Saccharomyces cerevisiae S288C: one gene and its partner. Changing the gene in region 1 together with any one later gene gives a genetic interaction. Each region holds a gene or a part of one and is shown in the gene's direction. Other genes may lie near its edges.

The links. A genetic interaction does not mean that the proteins touch.
Region 2: mutations in YMR090W (region 1) and YHR210C together harm fitness more than expected from each alone (negative genetic interaction), as found in Saccharomyces cerevisiae (one large-scale study listed by BioGRID).

The regions. Positions count from the first base shown.
Region 1 is NC_001145.3:445,974-451,752, forward strand, and holds YMR090W (uncharacterized protein), read left to right. Parts: upstream 1-3,271; coding exon 3,272-3,955; downstream 3,956-5,779. Other genes in the region: m-AAA protease subunit YTA12, read right to left, coding at 1-2,113; NPL6 (Npl6p), read right to left, coding at 4,085-5,392; AIP1 (Aip1p), read right to left, coding at 5,659-5,779.
Region 2 is NC_001140.6:518,601-523,795, reverse strand, and holds YHR210C (aldose 1-epimerase superfamily protein), read left to right. Parts: upstream 1-2,058; coding exon 2,059-3,084; downstream 3,085-5,195. Other genes in the region: CRG1 (S-adenosylmethionine-dependent methyltransferase), read right to left, coding at 3,484-4,359; branched-chain-amino-acid transaminase BAT1, read right to left, coding at 5,083-5,195.

The DNA.
Region 1 (5,779 bases):
CTAATTCTGTGACCATTGCCGTGGCCATGCTAGTAACTTTTTTGAAGTCATCAGATGCGCCACTTGTAACTGATGGGAAATGTAATTCTTCAGAAACTCTTCCACCCAGAGACATGGTCATTCTGTCCTTAAGTTGCTGTTCAGTTAGTAAGAAGATATCACCTGGCAAATACTGTGCATAACCAAGGGCGCCCTGGCCACGTGGAATAATACTGACTTTCAGAAGAGGATCTGCGTATTTTAAGTACCATCCACATACAGCATGACCAGCCTCGTGGTAAGCCACTACTTTCTTCTCTTCGGGAGAGAGTAGCTTGGATTTGCGTTCCACTCCACCGATGACTCTTTCGATAGCTTGTTCAAAATGATTCAATTTTACTGCATCTTCATCACTTCTAGCAGCAATCAAGGCGGCCTCGTTACAAACGTTGGCAATATCAGCACCAGAAAAGCCTGGCGTCAAAGCCGCTAATCTATTTTTCAAATCAAAAATTTCCCCGGCAAGTTTCAAATGATGTAAATGAACAGCAAAAATGGCTTTTCTACCCTCAAGTTCGGGCTTGTCGATATTGATATGCCTGTCAAATCTACCAGGCCTTAATAATGCTTTATCGAGAATATCGGGTCTATTGGTACCAGCTAAAACAACAACGTGGTCAGCTGGAGTGAAACCATCCATTTCTACTAACATTTGATTTAGCGTGTTCTCTCTCTCATCATTGGCACCTGAAAAATTACCCTTTTGTCTTGCTTTTCCTATAGCATCAATTTCGTCAATAAACACAATTGAGGGTGCATTTTCTCTTGCAGTTTTGAACAAATCTCTTACTCTTGCTGCACCAACACCAACAAACATTTCTACAAATTCTGAACCAGAAACAAAATAAAACGGAACACCGGCTTCACCTGCTGTTGCCTTTGCAAGCAAAGTTTTACCGGTACCTGGTGGACCAGATAGAATCGCACCTCTAGGAATTTTAGCTCCCATTTTTTCATAACGAGAAGGTTCTTTCAAGAAGCTAACAAACTCCATAATTTCTTCCTTAGCCTCATCGCATCCGGCAACGTCCTTGAACTTGATCTTAACGTCTGTTTCAGTGTTAAATTTTTTAGCCTTAGAACGACTCAGACCAAATATGCCTCCACGGCTACCGCCCGCTGCTTGTGCCGATCTTCTTGTCAACCAAATAATACCTGCAATCATTAAAACAGTTGGCAAAATTTGGAACATAGCTTTAGCCCAATTGCCTTCTTGAACATATAGTACAGGTATTCTGAAATCCTTATCAATGTCCAGTTCGTCCTGTGCTTTCTGAAGTTTGTGTTCGAAGCTATCAATTGAACCAATTGTGAAATAATAGAAGTTGCGACCGTAATTGTCGGCTTGGTTTTTTCCGTTGTCATTTAACATCACTTTCACCATGGACTTGTTGACAACAATCAACTTCGCAACATAACCTTTTGCCAATAGTTTCTCTCTAAAATCCTGCCACGTTATCTCACTTTGCTCTTCCAAACTGTTGAGGAGATCCAATAAAAACGAAAGGAGGAAAAAAGTTAGTCCTATCTGGAATAAGTTAACATTTTTCGATACAGGATTACTAGGATCATTTAGAGGTGGTTTTGGGGGAGGAGGTGGTGGTGGCGGTGGAATATTTCTGCTATTGTTACCTTCAAAGTAGCCCTGCTCTTTTGTTCTGTTTGACTTGGCTTTTGAAGGACCATTTTCCTCCTCTTTTTCCTTTCTTTCTTCTTGAATTCTGTTAGATTCTTGTTTCAATACAGCATCTTCTAAACGCCTAATACTTTCATCAATTTTGCGTTTCTGTTCTTTCCAGTTAGCCGGTATAGTATTATTTTTAGTTTGTTCGATATATTTTTCTACTTGTTTTCTTATTGCTTCAACCTCTTCGTCTGTGGGAATTTCTTTGTTAAGTTTAGCGTCTTCGTTATTGTCCTCGTTCTTGTTACCGCTCTTATTCTCTTGCAGCCTATTGAGTAGCCGATATTGAGTATGTAAACTCTTGATATGGGTCAAGCCGTAATAGGACCGGAAGCGAACGGGCCTTCTAACTACCTTAGTAGCAATTCTTGACCAAGAAAGTAGCAACATTAGTACTCTTTCTAACTTTAAAGTTGCTTGCCAAGACTCTTGAGTGTGCTATATTGTATTCGTTGGCAGCTCAAAATCTTTCCTTTAAAACTATAGTGGCAAAAGTTAGAGATCGTTTTCACGAGAAAATGATGGGGAAAAATGGACCAAAAGACAAATGTATTCACAATGTGACACCAGATAGCTTGGTGATTAGTATATAGATCTTACAGGACACCGAATAATACCAGAAGGGACTTTCTTATTGAACGAACCGATATGTGCATGCGTTATCCTATAAAGAAATACGTCCGGATGGGATATTCAAACAAGACGCCGGACAAAATAATTCACACATATGGAGGATGTTACGTACATGAGCACAAGACGAACCGTACAAAGAGAAACATACATCATCACTCAGACGATAAGATCATAAATTAGCAGATGACACTTTAGTTTATTCTCTTTGGTAGGTTTTCTACAATCAGAATTATCTAACGGCGAACTTCTGTAGGCAGAGTTTTCGCATCGCCCAATGAGATAATGCACTTTCAAAAGACCACGCTGCACTTGCATCAAATTGGTTTACGAAAGAGCAAAGTCGAGGATTAGCACATTCCGTGTGCCCATACGTTACCATTTTTGACAAAGTTGGCAACATCAAGCGAGACATATCTACAAATATACGTATCAGAATTGTACCCGAAGTATTTCTGGTTATATTCGTTGCTAACCATTTTAACGTATTCAGCCTAGTAGCCTGCAAGAACTATTAATACAAATCGTGAAACAGAAGTTCTTTGAGTTAAAGTACAAAGACAGACAACAGCCCTCGGTGAACCTGTTGGTGTGTGTTTCCTGTATCACAAAACACAAGCGAGCAAAGAAATACGACGTTATAGCTTTTAATAATACGACGAGACAATGTTAGTGGCCGTAATAACTTTCCAACAAAAGTACTTTCCAAACTTTGCTGTTACCTCTGTGATTGTTTAGTACGAAAATTGTATCGCGCTGTCAACAGCAAGGGGCTGCAAGTATTACGTAAGGGTACACTCGAAGTAGGGATATATATTTAAAGTCCCATCGTGACGCTCATAATAGGATACTTTCCCTCCAAATAAAAATTCATTGAAGTTATATCATCGGTATTCATATATTATTGACTTAACAGCCATGTCTCCTATGAAAGTTGCGGTTGTCGGTGCCAGTGGTAAAGTTGGACGTTTATTGATAAACCAATTGAAGGCCAACGATAGTTTCTCAACACCATTAGCGATTGTTAGAACACAGGATCAAGTCAATTATTTCAAGAATGAAGTAGGTGTTGATGCTAGTTTGACAGATATAGAAAACGCGTCCGTTAGTGAGATCACAGACGCTATTAAGGCTTATGATGCCGTGGTCTTTAGCGCCGGTGCGGGTGGTAAAGGAATGGAAAGAATTTTCACGGTTGATCTGGATGGCTGTATCAAAGTTGTTGAAGCATGCGAAAAGGCTGGTATCAAAAGGTTCGTTGTTGTTTCAGCGCTCAAGGCGGAGGATAGAGATTTTTGGTATAACATTAAGGGTTTGCGTGAATACTATATTGCAAAGAGATCTGCTGATCGTGAGGTTAGAAACTCTAATTTGGATTACACTATTTTACAGCCTGGATCGTTGGAACTAAATAAAGGTACCGGTCTTTTGCAACCCCTTGACAAATTAGAAGAGAAGGCTTCTGTTAACTACTCCATTAACAGGGAGGATGTAGCTTCTTTTATTGTGGAAAGCTTGCTACATCCAAATGCAACAGTGAAAAAAACCATTTCGTTGGTAAATGGCAACGAGCCAATGGAAAAATTCATTCAAAGTTTGTAGATCAACCTATTTACGCGTGAAATGCATATGTAGATGAATAGTCAAGAAAAGAAAAAGAAAGTGAGAATATATGAATTTTTTTACCTTGATTTGAAGATAAAAATTTGTTATATTGTTACATTGAGTATACTAAATATATTCGTTGCATTTTTCGAAATTTTGTTGTTCGGTGATAGCCCTTAAAACGTCTTCATCAACAACGTCTTCATAGATCTCTTTCGGGATTTCCGACAGTCCCGTTTTCGGTTTATTCAAATCGTTATCGTGTATAACGGTCTCATACACAATGCTTGTGTCGCTGGGACTATCGTTTTTTGATCTCCTCCATCCTAAAACAGTGGTTGACTGTGTGGATTCTGGTATGTGTAATATATTTGTGTATGCATCTCTCAAGCCTTGTTGATCTACAAGAAGAACCTTCACTCTATCATAAAACAAATCGCTATTAAATCTACTACACGCAGCAGAATGCTGATAGAGCCAATTTGTAGAGCTCAGCTTACTACCTGATGCAATAATATTAGAATTACTCATGTGACCATGTGGCCTGTGTTCAAAGAATTCCACCTGGTTTTTTGCAGGGTTTATGCCATTCTCGGAAGCAGGATACATCATGGTTTCTAAGGCCCTTGCGGATTTATCAATAGGATCACCAGCAAGTTTTCCTTCAATTACATTTCCCTTTGTTCTTAATTCAGAAGCATAATAATCATCGGTTATATGTTTGCCGCCACGAATGATTTTAGCACCAAATTCTTTAAACACGCCTCTAGCGGTGACTAGAGCGATTTGTCTATTTCTATATGAATAAGGTAAAACGCCACGGTCTATCAAGTCGTTCTTTTGAGTTTGATTCAGAATGAACTTATAAAGGTTGGGGTGAGTTTGAAAAAATAAATATGAATCTCTAAAACCCACTATCCTAGCCGGTTCGGTGGCCAGCATAAACTTTCGATTCCCCTTCTCAGTTAATGTGAAGGTGCGCACTAAAAATTCTCTGCCTCCTAATAGATCACCATCTGCAGTTATCTTCGTCTCACCTTCAGGATCATCTGGTAGAACATATTCTTCATTGACCACTTTCAAAGGATTTAAGTTCTCCTCAGCATCATCGATTCCGGGAAATACTGGTTTTTTGAACTTTGAACGGTTTCTAGATCTAGTAACGCCTTTATCCTCTGACAAATCCTCTTCTTCGTCCACGTGCCTCCTTTTGTTTCTTCCGCTTTTATTTATCTGTTCCTCCTCATCACTTATTTCTTCTTCATTCACTCCCTCATTGGCTTCTTCTTCTCTGTAATCATCATCTTCATTCTCATCATTTTCATCAATATCTAAATCCTCAGTATCAATTGCATAATTGGGTCTGTTGCTAGTAGATCTTGACCGCTTCTCATGTTCAACTTCGGAAGCTAGACCTCCCTCTGAATCTGACATTTCTGCTAGATGGTATTTCCTTCTTCAAAAGTAAATGTACTGTATTCAGTAATGCTTAAACTTTATAAAGCTGTTTTCTTGCAATATTTTTGTCTGCTCACAGTAACATGTTTAATAGTTCGAACGGGTTTTTTTTTAAAAGAGCGAAGTAATCAAAGCATTCGGGTAATAATTACAAGTTTATATGGACTGTGGTAAAAACAGTGTAAAACTTTTTTATATCTATTTTTCTAAGGTTACGTAATTGTTTACTTTATATTCTTATCTCACTCGAGGACAACATTCCACCTTTTAATGCAAGCGTCCGCACCAGAACTAACCAAGGTAGATGGTGTTTCCCATAAAAGGTTGTTAACACCGTCCTTGTGAGCATTCAACGCCTTAATG
Region 2 (5,195 bases), on another chromosome or scaffold:
TGTTGCCTCTAGATTTTTTCCATATATTTTCCATATGTTCACTTTTAGCAATCGCCTTTGCTTGTCTGATTTAGTTGAAAACAACAGCATTTGATATTCATGAAAGTCTATTAAAGGAAGAAAGTAAAGAAACTTTCTTCGCCTGTTTTCTTCCTAGAATACTGTTATACCAATAGAAATTGAAGGTTTGGGAGAACTTTTGAGAAACTTTTTTAAATTTCAAGACCTGTGCTTTGAACGTGTCTCATTTCTGCGTACAATGCCAAAGTTGGAAGGTTTTCTTGCGTATGGTTCTAGTTCTTTGCCAAATTATTGATTTCAATCACGCTTTAAAGTTTTTTCTGGGTTTTCTCCACATAGGATAGTGACAAGAAGTGCGGTAGCCATGTGGTTTATTGCAGATCACAGTATGAAGGACCTTCAACTTACCTTATTTACTTATTAACAGGAAATTAAGCGTCATAAAAAACTACAGCGGTGATAGGAGCTGTGAAAGGATCCATATTGCTATCGTGAGTGAAAACGAAGACAACCTGAAAATAAGTATTTTTCCGCCGTTCTTCAACGATGTATTTAGATATCAGTCGATATTAACGTATAGGAGGAGGATCGATTATCGTGAAGATAGAAAATAATGACCGAAGAAGATTCCCTGGTAGCGCACACTTCAAACTAAGGGTTGGTCTCCGGTAAATATCAAGATTTGTACATTTGGCTAAGTGCTGGAACCCATGCAATTGATCTTATTGTGATGATTTGATGATATTCCTCCGTCAGAAAGTCCTAGAACACAACCTCTGGATGAAAACAGAAAAGAAAAATATGCAAGATGTTCAAGTGCGCGCGGAGCAAAAAAAAAAAGGAACAGAATACTAAAAGAATACGTCGCGAATCTCGTTATTGACAAGGCATGTTTGGATGAAAACATGTAATGCCCCATTCAGCTTATTTTTCAACATTTTCAGAGTAACACGCAGAAGAAGACTTTGTTTTTCCAAAACCTCCTTTTGCACTCAAAAAGAATGCCAGTTCAGCATGGCATATTGGAGATTATTTTTCATAAAACTGTAAGAATTGTAAAGCAAAACTGGTGCACTGCTACATCAACTCTTATCTTCTTGCATATAAATTTAAATGAAAAGGAACTACTTTGTAATTATCGATATTACATTGAAACCTATGAGGAAGATTATGACATGATAACACTAAACTATTGCTGGCCAGCACCCGAACCGAGTGTCCAAATTGAGTTTTGAATCAGTTTTCAGCTCAGAACAGATTCCCCTTTTCCTTTATTAGGTCGTATCATCATTCTATGTGCAACTACTGCAGCATTTGCGTATAATTATGGAAATAAAATTATACGAAAGTTGATACTTGGTTGTAAATGGCCTAAGAATCGGAAAAAATGGAATTCTATTGGCATGCTATCTTGTTTAATGAGATTATGAAGTTGAATATCATTTCTGCGTTTTGCATTCAAACAATATCATTTCAAAGGCCTATCGCTGTGAGCAATACGCTGGATTTGCTCATCGCACAGTAAGCCTGCACTACCCCACCAAATTACAAGAATATAGTAGAGATCAGAAGCTTATGAGAAGTCACTTCCAAAATTCGCGTTGTCCAACATCCTTGGAATAATTTTTCCTCCTTATGCATCCAGGTGATTGACACTTTTTGACGGGATAAATGCAGGTGGAGGTGGGGGAGGGGTAAAGTTTCGTAAAGAGTGTCAGGTCGCATATCTTTGCACTGCGCAGAAATTCTCGCAGAAAATTACGCTACGGAGAAATTCTCGGGCACTAATATCGTACAAAAATTAGGTTTGTTACGTGATAATATGGCCTTGTACCTGTTAAGTTTTTCCGACAATTAGTTACTAGCTGAATATCTTAAAAAAAGGTAAAAGTAACTCCTCCATGGTTTGGTTATTCATGCGTAAACACCTTGGATGCTCTGAGATATAAAATCAGAATGTACTACGAAGTACTGGAACTCAATTGTACATTATGTTACTGCAATAAGTAAATTCACCTAAAAAGCCAAAAAGTGATAATGTCAAATAATAAGGCTGGCGGTGAATATGAAGTCATCACTATTGGTGATGCAAAAAAGCTTCAAGCAACAATTTCAGAGCTTGGCGCTACTTTGCTTGACTTGAAAGTGAACAACGAATCGATTGTTCTAGGATACCCTGATATTCATGGCTATATATCAGATGGCTACAACTACATTGGTGCTACTGTTGGCCGTTATGCAAATCGTATTTACAAGGGCATGTTCAGTATGGAAGATGGACCTCATCAGTTGACAGTGAACAATTGTGGAAACACCAACCACAGTAGCATCAGCTCCTTCCATCTCAAGAAGTATAAGGCATCCAAAGTCCAAAATCCTCTTGATGACCTTTACATTGTTGAATTTACGTTATTGGATGACCGCACACTGCCCAATGAATTTCCGGGAGATCTAGCTGTAAACTTAAAGTACACATTGAACGTTGCTGACATGACCTTGGACTTGGAATACGAGGCAAAACTGGTCAGCGGTGAGGCTACTCCCATCAACATGACGAATCACACGTACTTCAATTTAAACAAAACTATGGATAAAAAATCCATTAGCGGTACGGAGGTTAGGCTCTGCTCAGATAAATCATTGGAAGTAAGCGAAGGAGCACTAATTCCAACCGGTAAAATCGTTCAAAGAAAAATTGCTACTTTTGACTCCTCCAAACCTACCATTCTGCAGGATGATGGCCCGATTTATGACTACGCTTTCATTGTTGATGAAAATAAGAATTTGAAAACGACAGACTCAGTAAGTGTAAACAAGCTCGTCCCTGCCTTCAAGGCTTATCATCCGGCATCACGACTTTCATTGGAGGTTTCAACAACAGAACCAACTGTCCTATTTTACACAGGTGACAACTTGTGTGATGGATTTACGCCGAGATCTGGCTTTGCCGTTGAACAAGGCAGATATGTTGACGCAATCAACCGTGATGGATGGAGAGACTGCGTTCTTTTGAGACGTGGTGAGGTATATACTTCTAAGACTCGATATCGTTTTGCGGTGTAGGCACCAAATTTAGTTGTTTACTTTGCACTGTCGCATTATTTTTCTATAAATTGAGCTTTTTATAATGAGATATGATCCGGAAACAGCTTTCTGAAGTGCATATGTTATAGTTAATATTAAGAATTTTTTGAGACTTTATTATGTTACCATGATTGCATTATCTTTTAATGTTAACAGTAACAAGTTTACGTATCGCTTTAAAACATAATTACATTCAGAGGTCGGAATTTAGAGCCAATAAAATTTTTAGAGCATATGTTGACGGTTTTAAATTACTCCCAACTGCGCAACAACACCTTATTTTCTTTTTGCCATATTTTAATATTTATTAGCATTTGGGAAATATTTAAAAAAAGAAAAAAATCAGCTTTTTATATATTTCTTTTAATTTAGTAAACCTCATTCTCTTTTCCTACATAAGTAATAAAACGTTGACCACTCTATTTTTAAAGGTACATTCAAATCTTCACAATGACAGATTTCTTTGAGCTCGTTAATGAATATATCGGCAATATCCGGTTTCGAGGGATTATCTCTAGCCCAAGAAGTGTATATGCTCCAGCTTTTCACAAACTCTTTAAATTGATTGAGAGTAATAGCTGCTCTCCAGAGAAACTGACTGTTTTCAGCCGTTACTGTTGATGCATTTGGGTCCGAAGGACTGTAAATTGTGACTTCAATATCTCCAAATCGATCTGACAATAAAGAACGTAGCTTTTCACCACCGTAATTCAACAAAATTTCCCGTTGGTTGTCGTTCAGATATTTACCCATATAATCCTTGCTCCATCCATATTTGTAATATACATTCAAGGCTTCGGGAAAGTCCACAAATTCCGGCTGAATATAAAACCAGAATGCAAAAGTTCCATCACTTCGTAATATAGAGGAAACCTGCTGAAACAGCCTTTCTAAATTGCACCAATGGATGGCTTCTGCTGAAATAACCATATCTACACTTTCTGGTCGAATGCTGGATAAATCTTCACCAGGCGCATTAATAAATCTAATCTTTTTATCTAATCTACGTTCATTTGTTTCTTTCTCAGCAATCGAAAGCATAGCAGAAGAAGGATCAATCCCAATCACTTCCTTAAAATAGGGTTCAACGACAAAAGTTGCTTTTCCTGTGCCACATCCAATATCAACCAAACTTTTGCGTGTGCCTTTGTGAAATTTCATTATCTCATTGACTAAAGATAAAGGGTAAGAGGGACGTACGTTATTATAGTGAGCAGATTCAAAATTTTTGTTTAAATAACTAGTTTTAGGCATTCTGGATTCTTCCATTGACAGAAGACTGGCTTTGAAGATGTACTGAGTGTAAAAGGGTTAACTTGAATTTGCCCCTTTAGTTCGTGCCGTTTGTTTATGTTTATATACGTTCCCTTGGGGCCGCTAATTAGAATGCTAAATATAGATCGTGGAAAACTTTCACTACAAAGCTTCTCGTTGTTGTGTTGGCTGAACATATACTAATGAACTGTTTAAATCAGGATTATGGACCGGTGAGGGAACATAATCATCTCTTCATGCCTGAACCTGTATGCCACGATGATGGAAGGCATACCATTATTCATACTGTACTTGCACCTCTTCTGAACTACGCTAGAATTTATTCTTCAGAAAATACCAGGGATATCCTTATAGATTTTTTTTTTTTGGCATAATCAACTCTCTTGGGTATCTTGCCGCATTCATTTTACATGTAAAGTCCAGCGAGATACCTTGGCAACTAAATTACAAGCAGTCTCTATGAAATTCAATAATGTGCCAAGTTGTTAGGTCAACAATTTCAAAAAGCGTAAGAAGCCGCACAATGGCTTGCATAAGCTATAATAATAATAGTAATCCAATATTTCTTATAATAAATAAACTCAACAGGAATTGTAAAAAAGTATGTATCTATGTGAATAAAGTGAGAGAAAAACAGATCCTCTGAGAGGAATTCTCGTTTTTTTTTTTTGGGGGGGGAGGGGATGTTTACCTTCATTATCATTAGTTCAAGTCGGCAACAGTTTTTGACCAGTTACCATAATTGACTCTACCGTATTGGATATCAGCAATCCATTGAGCAACTTGCTTGGTCAATGCACCACATTGTTCACCAG